2 linked regions of the Alligator mississippiensis genome follow. The protein of the gene in region 1 binds, or shares a complex with, the protein of each later gene. Links are inferred from orthologs where the notes say so. Each region holds a gene or a part of one and is shown in the gene's direction. Other genes may lie near its edges.

The links.
Region 2: POLD1 (region 1) and POLD4 share a complex: the UniProt entries of both Homo sapiens proteins name them as parts of the tetrameric DNA polymerase delta complex. The link is inferred for Alligator mississippiensis from reciprocal best matches to the Homo sapiens genes POLD1 and POLD4.

Annotation. Positions count from the first base shown.
Region 1 is NC_081828.1:40,190,537-40,198,420, forward strand, and holds the start of POLD1 (DNA polymerase delta catalytic subunit), read left to right. Parts: upstream 1-4,835; 5' UTR 4,836-4,843; coding exon of another isoform or gene 4,844-4,921; intron 4,922-6,868; coding exon of another isoform or gene 6,869-6,875; coding exon 6,876-7,074; intron 7,075-7,246; coding exon 7,247-7,360; intron 7,361-7,884. Other genes in the region: NR1H2 (oxysterols receptor LXR-beta), read left to right, coding at 1-65, 1,289-1,388, 2,090-2,298, 2,619-2,765. UniProt on the Homo sapiens protein: As the catalytic component of the trimeric (Pol-delta3 complex) and tetrameric DNA polymerase delta complexes (Pol-delta4 complex), plays a crucial role in high fidelity genome replication, including in lagging strand synthesis, and repair.
Region 2 is NC_081825.1:176,138,970-176,146,288, reverse strand, and holds POLD4 (DNA polymerase delta subunit 4), read left to right. Parts: upstream 1-4,355; 5' UTR 4,356-4,452; intron 4,453-4,599; 5' UTR 4,600-4,601; coding exon 4,602-4,779; intron 4,780-4,879; coding exon 4,880-4,991; intron 4,992-6,313; coding exon 6,314-6,338; 3' UTR 6,339-6,664; downstream 6,665-7,319. Other genes in the region: glycine N-acyltransferase-like protein 3, read right to left, coding at 267-387, 598-724, 933-1,040, 2,131-2,208. UniProt on the Homo sapiens protein: As a component of the tetrameric DNA polymerase delta complex (Pol-delta4), plays a role in high fidelity genome replication and repair.

The DNA of each region.
Region 1 (7,884 bases):
TACCTGGCTTCCTGCAGCTGGCTCGTGAGGACCAGATCGCCCTGCTCAAGGCCTCCACCATTGAGGTAGTTCTGGGCTCCAGGTTTTCCATAGGACATGGAGAACTTAGGGAGGGTCCAAAGGCAGGCAACAAAGGTGATAAAGGGCTTGGAAGGCAAGTCACAAGAGGAGAGGCTGAAGGAGCTAGGCATGTTCAGTTTGAGGAAAAGGTGCTTAAGAGGGGGCATGATAGCAGGTTTCACATATTTGAAAGGCTTCCATAAATAAGAGAGAGAACACCTTTCTCTTATTGCAGAGAGAAGGAAGAGGACCAATGGCTTGAAGTTGCAGTAAAGTAGGTTTAAGTTGGATACGGGGAAAAACTTCACTATGAGAGCTGTGAGGCAGCAGACTAGACTGCTTAGGGGAACTGTGCACTCTGCATCACTGGAGGGGTTCAAGAAAAGGTTGGACGGGCATTGGTCAGGGATGACCTAGGTGTAGCTATGCCTGAGTTCTACCATGGGGTTTTCCCAGGCTTCTGTGTTTTGCTGGTCGCCCCTTTCTCCCTTTCTGCTACAGGTGTCAGGGTTTTTTCAAGTCTCTCTTAAGAGTCATTGGGTGTTGGTTGCAGCCAAGGCTGGGGATTGAGACTGGGCTGTGTCAGTGCTTCTGCTGGGATCAAAGCTGGAGGTTTCTGCCTAGAGGGTCTTGCCCCTGTGCTCAGGATTAGACCAATCACTATATCTGAGGTCAGGAAGGAATTTTACCCTGGTCAGATTGATAATGATGTGGGGTGTTTTGACTTCTTCTGTAGTGGGGACATGGCTTCTACCTGGGATCTCTTGAGCGTATATTAACAACCTTTTAGAGAAGCAGGATGTTGGCTGCTGCGGTCCCCCTGCTTTACCGGTGCCAGGTTTGGGTGTTATGATTTGTGTCAGGGTTGACGGTAGCTTTGTTAAGAGTTTAGAGGGTGGATTTGTAGAGGATGGTCTGGATAGGACCAATCCTGCTTCAGGCAGGGGGTTGAGCTAGATGACCCCTGGAGGTCCCTTATGTCCTGACTTCTCTGATTTTACAGTTCTATGAGGTGCATCGCTGGGGGGGAGGGAGGGACAGACAGAGTGGAGGCTGTGTTGAGGGCAAGGGCACAGGGCCATGTTGAGTGGGCTCTTCACAGCTTGCCTGCCCAGGCCATGCATGTTGGTGCCTGCCAGGGCGAGGGTGGTCCGTGGCCATGCAGTAAATGGCAGGTGCTGTGGCCCCATGGTGGAGGGGGTCTCATGCCCACCCTGCTCCCCCCCAGATCATGTTGCTGGAGACAGCACGGCGCTACAACCATGAGACAGAAAGCATCACCTTCCTGAAAGACTTCACGTACAGCAAGGACGACTTCCACCGCGCGGGTATGCAGTGGCAGGGGTGCTGGCACAGGGTCCATGGAGGAGCTAGCGGGTGGTACAGGGGAGTGCAGCAGGCAGGGGGTGGGGATCAGGGTAGCTCTGGGGGTATGAATAGGGGGGTAATAGGGGCTGGGGTGCTAGGGGCTCAGAGGAGGCCTCTGGGGGGAGCTCTTGAAGGGCTGTTGGGTCTTCAATCCATGTCCTGCAGGGTGAAGGAGGAAGCTATCAATCCCAACTTGGATGGGCCATGGGGATGGCTCCTAGGGGGTTGGGATTTCAGGGATGTCTGGTGGGATATGGGGGGTCCCAGCAAGGCAAGGGGATTTCCAATGAGATGTGAGTTTCAGGGGGGTCTTGGTGGGATATGGGGGTTTTCAGTGGGGTGAAGGATTGGACTAGTGGGATTTGGGGGTAGGGGGGAGGTCTCAGCAAGGCATGGGGATTTCTGGTGGGGTATGAAGTCTCGGGGGTCCTGGTGAATTGGAGAGTTTCTCACCAATGGGGTTGGAAGATTCCTGGTAAAGGATTTGGGCATCTCAGTGGGGTTTGGGGGGTTCCCTAGTAATGCATGTGGGGTCTCAGTGGATTCAGGGGTTCTGGTGTGTGGGGACATCCCAGGACTGCAGCGGACATTCTCAGTGGGGTCTGGGGGTCCTGGTGGGGCATGGGCCCCCCAGGTCCCGCTGAGGCCTGGCGCCTCACAGGTCTGCAGGTGGAGTTCATCAACCCCATCTTTGAGTTCTCGCGGGGCATGCGAGGGCTGCAGCTGGATGATGCCGAGTATGCCTTGCTCATCGCCATCGACCTGTTCTCGGGTGACCGGCCTGGTGTGCAGCACCGTGCCCAGGTGGAGGCACTGCAGCTGCCCTACGTTGAGGCCCTGCGTGCCTACACCCGCATCCAGCGGCCCCAGGTAAGGTGGGGCCCCCATTGCATCCTGACAGCCAGGGGCAGACAGGAGCTGGTGACTCTTGGCCTAGACCCTCCTCTTAGCCTGCCCTGGACTGGATGATGCTCCTCTACAGATGGGGGGTAAGAAGCCATGTTGGTGGCAGGGCTGGTACTGCCCCAAGGCTTTAACTCATGTACTCCACATGCTGGGGGGCACAGAAGGCAGAAGCATCACTAGGATACAAGGGATAGTGGATAGATCCAGGCATGGGGGTAGGAGTGTAGGGGCAGCTTTTGGGGGGTTGGCTCTGACACCCCCTGTCTCCCCCCCCTCTCCCCCAGGACCGGCTGATGTTTCCCCGCATGCTGCTGAAGCTGGTGGCCTTGCGTACGTTGAGCAGTGTACACTCAGAGCAGGTCTTTGCCCTCCGCCTGCAGGACAAGAAGCTGCCACCGCTGCTCTCTGAGATCTGGGATGTCCATGAGTAGGCGTGCAAGGCATGGGGAGGCAGGACTGAGGGGTTCCCCCCACCCATGGCCAGATCCCCCTCCCTCCACACTGATGGACCAATGCCAGAACCCAGCAAGGGGCAAGCCCCCCTGCACCCTGGACTAACCATGTGATGCTGTGCCTGGCTGGATGATGGATCAGGACCCCCACCCCCCTGCCTGGCCCAGTTGGAGGCAGCCTCAGGACAGTGGGAGTCTCCCAGGGCTGGGGAACATCTCTGCCCCCCAGCTTATGAGCCTCAAAGACTTGTTGTCCTCTCCCCACCAATGGGGAGTCCCTCTCCTATGAAAGGGGGTGTGGGGTGGAGGTGACCCCTGGATAGCAGAAGGAGGGCAGAGGGGCAGGCCCCAGTCCTCTGCTGCCACTGGAAGAACTTGGGGGGGGGGGGAAACAAAGACAGTGCTGCCCCCCCCATTCCTACTGTCATGGAGATGTGTATGGAACGAGAATGCTTCCCCCGCTGGAGTCGGGGGGGGGGGGGGGCGGGCAGGGCGGGGGTCACACACACACACAGTGGGAAATAAAACAAATTACAGCTTCCTGGTGCCTCCTTGCATCTGTGCTGGGGTGGGGCAGACAGGTCAGGACACCTGGGTTCTATTCCAGCTCTGGTGGGGGCAGCTGGGGTCTGGTGGGGTTAGAGGAGGGTGGCCCAGGACTCCTGGGTTCTATCCCAGCTCTGGGAAGAGAGGGAGGTTGGGTGGGTTGGAGAAAGGGTGGTCCTGGGAAACAGGACACTTGGCTTGCAGTCCAGCCCTGGCAGGGGGGCATGTGGGCTGGGAACCAGGATGTGTCTGGGTTCTCTCCAGCTCTGGGAGGGGACTCATGGTGGAGAATCAGAATAGATATGGCCAGAACAGAATCCCAGGCCCCACTACCCCAGATATGGCTCTTGCCAAGGGCTTGTGGGAAAACCCACCAGGTTCTGGGAAATCAGGGGAATTCCAGCTGGTCATGCTGGCCGCTAGGGGGTCCCCCAGGGCCATGCATCAGCCGTGAGCACTCCGCTCCCCCCACCCTCTCACCTACCTGGGCAGGCAGTAGATGCAGAAACTCCCACGCAGCCTGCAGGCCAGCAGGGGACACTGTAGGGAGCGGGGCAGGGAGGTCGGCGCGGGGAGAGCTAGGGCAGCTGTATCACGCCCCCCATCGCCAGCTCTTCAGGAGGGGATTCCCAGCCTTGGGGCAGGAAATCCCAGGAAGGTCTGGGAGTGGCAGGAACATATTACTACCACCCCCAAGCAGGGCAGGAAGCCAGGCTGGGCCTGTGACTGGCCCCTTTCCACACCCCACGGGACCCGGGGCTTTCCAGCCTCCTTGAGACTTCATGGGGTCTTCTAGCCCGGCATCAGCATCGGAGTGGGGGATGGGAGCCAGGACGCCTAGGTTCTAGCCCAGCTCCGGCAAGGGAGGGTGGGGATGGGGGGCCAGGACACCTGAGTTGTCTCCTGAGCGTGGCACAAGGGCGTGGGATCTGGTGGATTAGAGGTGGGGCTTGGGGAGCATTGGCAGGCAGGACGCCTGGATTCTCTTGTCTGCTGGGGGAAGTTTGCGGGGGTAAAATCATGGAGAGTGCAGTGGGTGACCCCCCCCTACAGGCAGGGGTACAGTGCAGCGGTGCGTAAGTCAAGGGCAAGGCATTCTGGGAGCTGACTACCCCCCCATTGGGAGTCTCCTGCTCCTCTCTTCACTTTGCCACACTCAACATGGCGTCGCAGGAGCGCATCCAATTGCGCATGCACTCTGCGATCCTGGCTGCCCCACTGAAGGGCCAGGCTTCTGGGATCCCCACTGCGCATGTGCCGCTCTCCATAAGGTGACGTTCGTGGCTCAACGTGGCATATGCGCAGTATCATGGACTCAGAAGCCAGATCCCAGGTAGTGTGTCACCTTACTGCGCATGCGTTTGTGCCGGGGCGACTGCAGCCTTCACGCCACACTCTCCGTATCACTGTGCTCAAGTACCCCGCCCTAGGCCTTCCGCCACGCTCAAGATGGCGATCGGAAGTCGCGGTGGGAACACGTGTGTGCGGCGTCCAATGGGAGGGGGGTTGGTATGGGAACCGAGGGGTGGGACCACGCTGGGCTCCGCCTCCTTTTGGATTGGCGGGAGAGTCGGAGCTGGAGCTGGGGGGTAAGTGGGGCTGGGGGGTAGTTGGAGTGAGAGGGCTCCCGGGGGGGAGGCATCTGCTGGGGGTGGGGCGCCCTATGGGGGGCCCCTGTTGGGCGGGCAGTAGTTGGGTGTGGGGTCCCTGGGGTGGGGGATGCTATGGAGGGTCCTTGTTGAGGGGGTGCTAGCAGGGGACGGGGTTCTTGTGGGAGATCCCTGGTGGGGGGGTGGTCCCTGGTAGGGGGGCAATAGCTTGGGATGGGATCCCTGGGGTGGGGAACCCTATGCGAGGGTCCCTGGGTGGGGGCTGTAGCTGGGGAGGGGTAGCTGGGGTGGGAACACTCTTTGGAGGGGCTCCCTTGGGGGAGACTTTCTGGGGGGTTCCTGGGGGGAAGGCTGTAGCTGGGGCTGGGGTCCTTGGTATGGGGAAGCTATGGGGAAACTCCTTGGGAGGAGACTCCCTGGGGGTTCCTGGGGGACAGGCACTGGCTGGGGGTGGGGAGTCCCTATTGGGGGGGGGGTCCTTGAGGTGGGGGACTCGGGGGGTTCTGGTGGGGGGCAGGCAGAGCTGGGGATGGGGCCCAGGGTGTTCTTATGGGGCAAAGTGGGTAGGTGACTGTGGGGGCAGTTGTACCCCATGGTTGCTGGGAGGCATGTGTGTGCCTGTCACAGAGTGGGAGCTTCCTACCTGGAAGGTGGGAGCCTGCCTGTGGGCTGTAGGGCCCAGGCTGCCCTGGAGGTGGGGGGACTGGACCTCAGGTGCCAAAGGGATCATAGTTCCTGTGATGTGTGCTGGGCTTCATAGAGGAGGCCGTGTGGCTGGTCTCTCCCTAGGTGTTTGGAAAGCACACAGTGGATGCACAAATGCAGTGGAATTGGTTTATACCAGGGTTGGCCAACAAGTGGCATGGGTAATCTGTGTGTGTGGCACATGGCAGATTGGGGAGGGGGCAGGGAACACAGCAGCAGGCAGGGTAGGGAGCAAACAGGAGACTGGGCATGGGAAGGGGCATGGCCTGGCACTCGGGCAGGGTGCAGGGCTAATTTGTGGCACGCCTGCCCAGAAAGTTGGCCCCCACACCAGACCTCATTGCATCAGCCCTTCCAGAGGAAACGTGCTTTAAGAACCTCACAGACTCCTTTTTTCTTTGCATACCTTGCAGCATCTTTTCCTGTGATCCGTTCTGATGATGTCTTATGCATGGGCTTGTGCTAGCTCTAGCACCAAGCACATTTTGGCTTGCTGTGCCAGGCAGCGGGTCTGTAGGGAAGCTGTAGAGACAGAAATAAAAAGGGCCCTGCAAGGGTTATCTGTTCCTGGCATGAGGAATTAGCATGTGTTGGAGTCACGTAGGGCAGTAGGCACCAACCTTTTGGGCAGACGTGCTTCAAATTAGCCCTGCACCCTCCCCTGTCCAATCTGCTACTCTGCTTCCTGCTCCCTGCCCTGTTCTCTCACTCTGATCTGATGCTTTGCCTTCTGCTCCCTGGCCCATGGTCCCCATCTGGTATGCTGCTGTGCCTTCTCCCTGTCTACTTTGTGGCTCTGTTTTCTGCTTCCTTCCTTGTGTTCACTGCCTGATCTTTTACTCTGCTTTCTGCTCTCTGCCCTGCACCCACTGTCTGATCTGTTGCCCTACTTCTCCCTACTCAACCTGCTGCTGTATTCCTTGCTCCCATCTTGATCTGTTGTGTGCCACAGTTTGAGGCTTTCCTGTGTCATTTGTGTCATCCATCCTTCAGGTTGTCCCCCCCCCCCCCCCCCCCCGGATGATTGGCATTAGAAGAAAAAGTTGAGGATGGACCCAGGTGTTTTTTGGATGCAGCCCTGTTTATTTACAAGGAACATACAAAGAATCCCCTCTCTTTGAAACACCGCAGTCAGTGTGCAACAGAAGTGTTTTCTCTGCTCATGATTCAGTCTCTTCCAGGCACTCTGAGCCCAATTTGGTCTTCTGCTTTTGCCCTCAGATCCACCATGGAGGCCAAGCGGAAGGTATCCCCAGCGGGGCCTGGCCCAGAGGACCCCTCACAGTGGAAGCGGCCACGGGGGGGTGACTGGGAGGATGAGAACCCCTCACAGTTTGAGGAGGCACTGGCCTACCTGGATGAGGTGGAGAGCGAGATGACTCTGGAGATGGAGTCGTCATCTCAGTTGCTTGATGTCATGGCCATCGGTGAGGCGACCCCCTCTGGCCTCCCACAGGGGCTGATGCCAGGGCCCTGGTTAAGGGGCTGTGGAGTGGTGGATTGTTGGCTTATGGGGCAGGGGTTGAGGGGTGCAGCACCAGGAGGGAGGAGGAGGAGGGATTGGGGCTCTGACATTGAACTTTAATCTCCCCCTTCAAGGGAGTCTGTTCTCCTCGGTGCTGAACCCCAAGTGGCAGCGCCCAGCACCCCCTGGGATCGACCCTGCAGCTGATGCACTCTGCTTCCAGCAGGTGGAGCTGGATTATTATGTGGGTGAGCATGCCCAGCGCAACTCCATAGACTGAGTTGGGGGCCTTTGGGAGGGGAGTAGGGCTAAATGGTCAGAGCAGGCGGGTGGGGAGCCAGGACTCTGGGTTTTGATCTCGGCTCTGGGTGGAGAGTGGTTAGGTGGTAAGGGTGAGGAGCCAGGACACCTGGGTTCTCCTGCTAGCCTGGCAGTCCCATCCCAACTCCAAAAGAGCGTGGCCTAATCTTCCCTGTTCCCCCAAACCCTTGAAGGTTACTGTGTTCTGGGGAAGGGCTGGGGTCTGGGATTATCCCTCCAGCTGTTTCCATTCCCCCATCTTGGGGGCTTTGTCTGATTAATCTGTAACCCCTGCCCTCCTCCCCCCACACAGGGAACCCCCCCTGGCCTTATTCGTGACCTGGGGTGAGCAGGGGCTTTTACAAAGCACAATGGCCCAGTGTGTCCCTATCCCAGGGGAGGGCTGGACACACAGGTTGGAGTTCCCCAGGGAAACTTCCCAGTCAGCTGGGGTGTGGGGGCAGGGTGCCTC
Region 2 (7,319 bases), on another chromosome or scaffold:
TACCTCAAGAAGTGAGAATGGGGCACAAGCCTTTTGTCTCTTGGGGATAATAATTCTGACCCAGTCTCAAGGTCCACCCTTGGGCAGCAGAAAGGGGGACACTAGAGCTGCAAGAAGTTAGGTGTGGGTTCACTGGTATGGGGAATGGGGAGAAAGACGGGGATGACTTGGGGACCCCATTTAGGCCTAGCTTGTGATTTCTGGCCTGGATACAGAGCAATGAGATGGCCTCAGAGCCCCATGAGGGCAGCACAGCAGACGCTGACCTGACATCAGGTACAGTGCTGGAGCTTGGCAGGAGATACACCAAGTAAGTGGATGGGTACACCTGGAAGCCCTTGGCCTTGGCAATGTCCCTGGAGGCTTCACACACGCTGTCCTGGAGCCCTGCAGGGTGGGAAGCAATGCACTGTGAGCAGCCGTGGGAGACCCTGAATAGTGCCCATGTATGTGGGGGGGGGGGGGTCGGACTGATGGAAGTGAGGGGGAGGGGGTGAACTAAGCCCAAAAGAGACCCAGAGCTCCTGTGCAGTGCCTGGGGTCTTCCCACACCTGGGCTCTTGCTCTGGGGTTCAGGGGGGATGGTCCCTGACTTACCATGTATGCGGAAGGTCTGGGCCCAGTTGATGGCCCCTGGGCTGCTCAGCAGTGCCCGGTAGGCACCCAGGTCCCGGTAGAAGGCTGAGTACATGTTAGCATAGAAATCAGAGTCATCCGTCACCACCTGCCAGGAGATACTTGCTGAGCGGGAAACTCCAGGGAGGAGAAGCAATCTTCTCACACCCCAAGTCAGCTATCTTTTGGGCCACACTGTTGCAAGCGCCTCCCATAAGGGAAAGGCCCTGGCTCCTGCCAGCCCCACACTCCTTCACGGAGGAGCTGGCACCTGCCAAGGGAGACAGTCCCTGTACCCCATAGCAGGGGAGTCTCACCTCCTTGCGTGGCCGGGTGAGGACAGCTTTGAAGTTGGGCCACGAATCCACCAACACCTCATGGCCAGCTGGATTCCCACGGCTGATGTTCATCACAGCACCAAGGACCTGGTTGAGACAGAGCAGAGTGTCAGAGCCAGGCAGGGGGAGCCACAGGCATCAGGGACTCAGACTCACATGAGGAAGGGAGACCAGGGTGATGCTGGCTCCGACATGGTTATCAGGAACCCCCTGATCTTTGGCCTGGGGGTGGGTTCAGCTCCTCATTACTTACTGCCTCTCTGGAGCCTTTGGTCCTTCTTCAGTCTCCCCTGGCATTTCCAGAGGGGCGGGCATTGCCACTAACCTCAGTCAGGATGGCTGCCACCTCCCTGTGCTTTCAATGGGGCTGAAGCCAGAGAAGGGGGAACCCCAGGCCTGGAAATGTGAGGGGGCAGGATGGAGAGAGGAGGCCTGGGAATGGTGCACAGGCTAAAGGAGTAGGTCTGGGAGGGGGAGAATGCCGAGGGGCAGAACAGGGCTGGGGCCAGTGTGTGCTCTGTGAGCTGGTCTGGAGGCTGTGTATGGGGGGCTGAGCAGAAGGTGAGGAGGTCCTATGCTTCAGGTACCAGTCTGAGTGGGTGCTGAGACCCAAGGCCAAGCACAGCCACAACACCCAATGGCACCTGTGGGCCCCTGAGTCATGGGACCACCCCTCATACCGCCTCCCCTCCCCAGCCCTCTGTCTCCTGAGCTACTTTTGCTGAATCTAGAGATTTGCTCCCTGTTCAGTGGCCACTTTGGATTGATGAGCGTAGAAGCTGCCCACACTGTGACTGGCTGGCATGGAGGTTACTGATGTTATGGTTGGCTGGCAAGAGCCAACCAGGCTGTGATTGGCTGTTGGACTGCTCACAGCTATGCCAGGTGAGCAGCAGGCATTTGTGCTAGGTTTGAACTTTGCACAAGCAACAATTGGGCAACCCCAGAAGAGCAGCTGGAGCTGGGGGGAGGGGGCTGGACCCCCAGTGACCCCATATCTGTGTGGTCGGGTGGGGGGGGGTAGCAGAAACCCCCATAGCCCAGAAGGAAGGCTCAGCCCTTCACCCAGCATCTGCACCATCACCCAGGGCAGACAAGACCATCCATCTCCTCTGCCCAGTCCCTGGATGAGTGTGGGGGGCTGTCACCCAATGTCTCAAGAGCAGTCTCATGTCACCGGCAGTGTCTCAGGCAGGCTCTGCCGCAGCACTCCCTCCAGCAGCTGCAGCTTGGAGGAACAGCTCAGGATCAGCATTGCTGGCCGGATTGAGCCCTGGCAACCTCCAGAGGGGATAATGCAGGCACCTGGGGAAGGGGAGATGCCATCAACTCCCTGAGAGCCATCTCAGTCCCCCCTCTTCCCCACAGAGAAGGCCACCCCACAGAGAGACCCTGCAATAACACACTTGTTTGTCAGCTGCTGTCCCCCAGCCAACTGGGGCTGCTTTGGGCAGGGCAGGGGGCTTTCCACTCACCTGCACGTTCACTGTCCCTGCGGCAGGGGTTGTCCTAGGAGCACAGTGGTGATGAGGTGTCTGTGGGGCAGGGTGGGCTCTGCCTGGCAGCAGCTGGTCCTGCCCTTTGGGTCTCTGCCGCAGGGGCTGCTGCAGCCTCTGATCCCAGCAAATGAACCATTAACAGAGTTGGTGCTTGGCTGGCCTGGACAGCAGGGCAGGACGGGACAAGAACGTTTCCTGGGGTTGGTGCAGCAGTAGTGAGTGGGACCTGGGAGGCTGGGAAGCAGGGTACATCTGTACCATCCCCCCCAGCAGCAGATCTGCCTGTGGGGAGCACGGCAGGAGTGCTGGCTAGGGATGGCTCCAGGATACTCTTGCTCAGAGGTTCTCAAGCTGTGGTCTGTGGACCACCACTGGTCTGCAAGCTCCATTTAGGTGGTCCGCAGAAAGGTTGCGGAACAGTCAAGAATATGGTGCAGCAGCTCTGCAAAGCGGTGACTGGTGTCAATGGGCTAACCAGAGAAGTGGCGCCATACGGGCACCCCGCCAAACACCAGGGGAACCTGTCACCCCAGTTTGACATTTACGTCCTGCCTCAGGAGTGCCCCGTGGAAGACCAGGAACCTCCTGTTATACAGGCACACAGATGCAGAGGTAGTAGGCTGTGTAAAAGTGGTGCTGAGTGAACTCCAGACCTACTACCAGAAATTGGTTGTGGAGAATGAGACAGAGACATGTGGCACAGGACCTTCCAACTCCCCCTGAGCAGGAAAGGGAGCAGCAACGGTGAGGAAAAGGAAGAGACAAGTGGAACTGAGTACAGCGACAGCAGCAGCAAATTCTTCAGCAGGAGCTGGAGCGATAGTGACATGGATGACAGGTGAACTGAGTATGTGACCTTGCAAGCAGGGGGGAAATGAAAGGACGGGGTTGCCTGGTTTGAGACCAGAATTAGTCTGGTTGTATGTGTTGTGCGCGGAGCGGATATTGTAACAGGTTCAGGTGGCCAGCGGGTCTTTGTATGGGTGTGCGGGTCGCAGTGGTGCAGTTTTTGTAACAGGTTTAAGGTTTTTCTTTGTAGAGTGATATTCAGAGTGTAGATATATATAACCTCATATACATATATATGTATATACATACATACATATACATACATATAATATATATATATATATAGACATATTTTTCCAAAAAAAAAAAAATCTGTACTTGTAAGAGGGTGGTAACAGCAAGGAAGAGGAAGAGACAAGTGGAGCTGAGGACAGCAACAGCAGCAGCAGGTCCTCCAGCAGGAGCTGGAGCGACAGAGACATGGACAACAGGTGAACTGAGTACGTGACCCCAGAAGCGGAGTGGGGCTGAAAGGAAAGGGTTGCCTGGTCTGAGGGACCAAGAGTTGCTTGTGTGCGTGGCGCGCAATGTGGATATTGTAACGGGTTCGGGTGGCTAGTGCGCCTTTGTACGGGTTCTGATTTTATTAGGGCATAGTGGTGGGTAACCCAATTTTTCTTGCCACCCCCCAAGAGTCAAAGTGTAAGTCGAGCCCTGCCGGACCCCACTACAGCCTGGCCCCGGTGCTCGCCCTCCACCTCCTCCAGGGCTACTCAGGGCAGGTGACCCCGGCCACGCTCCAGTCCGCCCTCCCCCCTCGGCCCGCCTCGCCCTGTGTCTGCTTGTGCCCAAGGCGCTGGTCAGGAGACGGGGCGTCCCGGGCCCAGCCGCGTGCCTGGCTCCGCACCCCCAGGCTGCCACCCCCGTCCTCCTCCTCTTCGCTGTGCCCCGGGCCGGGCCCGTGCTGCCGGCTCAGGCCCATCAGCACCCCGCACGCATTACCCAGGCCCATCACCACACCCACGTTCCGCCCTGTCTGTGACGCCACAAGGAGGTGGGAACCCCGTGGGCCCCAGCAACGCCCCGCTCCGCGCGCATGCGCGCCTGACCCCCCAGGGTCTCCGGGGAGAGGTGTTCGCGACGCCCCCTTGGCGCCTTCCCGCGCAGTGACGTCACTGTGGCGGGGCAGCGCGCGGAGGGGCCCGGACCAGGTGAGGGGCGCGGGGGCTCGGACGCCGGGGTCCAATCCGCGGCCTGGGGCAGGGGCGGGGGGTGGGGCCGCGGGGCGGACGCCTGGGGTCTCCCCGGCCTGGGGGCGCCGCGCCCTAAGCCCGGCCTGCCCGCTCGCTCGCCCCCAGCCATGCGCAGCAAGCGGCTCATCCCCGATGCCTTCCCGGCCGTGAAGAGGCCGCGGCGGGACTGCGCAGCCAAGGCCCCGGGGGCAGGGCCCGCCGAGGAGCCCCGCGCCGCCCCGGCCCCGGCCCCACTCGACCTGCTCAAGCGCTTCGACCTCAGCCCCGAGTACGGGCCCTGCACCGGTGAGACCCTCCCCCCACCTCCGGAGGGGCGCGGGCGGGCCGGGCTGTGCCCCGAGGGGCTCCAGGACCCTGAGCCCACCCCTGACCCCCGTGCCCACAGGGATCACGCGCCTGCAGCGCTGGGAGCGGGCGGCGGCGCTGGGCCTGAGCCCCCCGGACGCGGTGCGAGAGGCGCTGCTGCAGCACGGCGAGGACCCCCGCGTCACCTACAGGTGGGTCAGGCGGCTCCCGGGAGCTTCCCGAGCCAGGGAACTGGGGACTGGGTCCCTGCCCACGGCGGGAGGGGGCTGGCGGGGCCTGGCCTGTGCTTGGGGCTCGCTAGTTGGGTGGTGGCATCACTTGGGTGGCACAGGCAGGGCTGGGCACAGCCAGCTGTTTGAGCTGCCCCCTGGAGCAGCCTGGCCCCTTGTCAGGAGATGCAGGATCGAGCCCCCTCTGGTAGACGGGGCAGCCTGGCTAAAGTGCTGGAGGTGAGAGGGCAGAGCCGGTGGGGCTGGGAGCCCAGCTCACCCTCCTTGCAGAAAGCCCCCTGGCGAAGCAGGCCGCATCACGGTGTCCAGCCCTGAACAGACCGTTTCTGCCTGCCACAGGCCCCGCTGACACTGGCCACCTGTGCTGCAGCCACAGCAATGCTCCAGGGGTAGAGTCCTGGCAGAGCTATGCCGGTGGGGAGCCCGGGGCTGGGCCAGATGTGGATGTGCCTTGGGGGCCAGCAATGCTTCTCTGACCCATGCCCAGAAGACTTCACCCCTGAGACAGCAGATCTGCCCCCAGAGCTGGCTGGGGTAGGAGAGGGGTGGGTGAGTCACCTCTTGGGTGATGGAGGGAGACCAGCCCCGGTCCTGACCCCCTTCCCTACTTGCAATCAGCAGCCGGACTTGGGCTATTTCAGCCTGCGCCTGCTTAAGTCAGGGAAGGGTTGAGTGGTTGGGGTAGGACCATGAGGCTGCTGGATAGGCAGTGGAGATGCCCTCTCCTGCCCTAGAATCAGGCTGTTGAATCAGTTTCAGCTCTGAGCCCAGCCCTGTCCCTGCATCCCGAGGGGGTGCTGCCTGGGACCTGCTGACCTACCAGGTAGCAGTGACTTGGAGGGGGAGTGTGCCCTGTTCCCTGCCATACAGCACTCCTAGCGGCCTAGGAAAGCATTGCAGCCAGCCAGCACTGCCTGCCAGGGGACGGGGCCTCTCTGCCTCCACCCTGGGGCCAGGCCCTGCTCTGTTGAGTGGGTGAGGGGAGAGTGGGGGGGGGTGTCACAGGGAAGCAGGACTTACAAAGTAGGGAGAAATGTGCGCCCTCCCCACCCCCCTCCAACGACAGCTCGCTGGCCCTGAAAGCTGATAGCCGTGTGACCCATCTGCCTCCAGCCACATCATTCCTTCAAGTTGACCGTAAAATCGTGTCTCCTGAAGACCCGCCACAGCGGCGCTGCGGGGAGCCAGGCACATTCCAGCCTTGGCCTGGGCCAGGCCCAGGGGTGTACCAGGGCATGGAGCTGGGTCTCCCTAGGAGTAACCTCTCTCTGCTTCCCCTACAGTCTCTGGCACGAGTACCCGCTCTGAGGGGGAAGTGCGAGGGGCCTGAACAGCTCATGATATGAAGTGGAAGGGGGACCCTGCGCTGGTGCCCAGCCCCCACAGCGAGTGCTTTGGATCCTGAGTGGAAAGCGGCTTCGCTCCAGCATTAGGCAGAGGATTCTCATTCCCAGTGCTTTGGGGGAGGAGCGGGAGGGGGCTTTGCCAAGGGCATGGTGTGTCCAGGGACACTGCAGGGGTGCCTAGTGCAGCCTTGCTTTCAGCAGTCCAGCACCCTGCTGTGTTTGGTGCTGTCCACTTTCCCAACAGCCCTTGGCGTGTGTGTTTTGGATTAAATGCTTGTGTGAGAGCCACTGGCCTCCTGCCTTCTAGCTGTGTGGTACAGGGAATGGGTCTCTTGGGACTGTGCCAGCTGCACAGTTAGAGCTAGCCAAGTGCAAGTGCTGATATGGTCTGGGTGGAGGGCGGGCCGTGGAGGTGAGGGCTCACCTCCCCTGGACCCCTGAAACCTGGAGGTTATCATGTTGGTAAGCACATTGTGCTGCCCAGCTGCTGGCTGGGGCCCAGAAACAGCCTGGTGGGGGCAGGGGAAGTGGGCTGTTGTGGCAGCCCCTGCCACAGTGGGACACAGGTGCCCCCTGGTGCCCTGTGTGGCCACTGCAGGAAGGCTGGAACCATGGCCGGGCAAGTGGGGCCCAAGGTCTAGACTACAGCAGTGGTTCTCAACTTTTTTTGCACCAGGACCCATTTGTAAACATCATTGGTCAGTCCCGACTCCTTGCCCCTCGCTCCTGACCTGCTGCCCTCAGCCCCCCAGTGTGTGGTGGGGGCGTGGGACATGGGGGGAGGGCCCAAGCAGCCCCTTGGAACTCTACCAGCCTGCAAGGGAAAAGCCAGTTTCCCATGGTTTTTCTCCTTTAAAGGAGATTCCGTTTTTAAAGTATGATCCTGTTCACGACCCTTTCATGCTTGTGACCTACAGATTGAGAAATACTGGTCTAAAAGAAC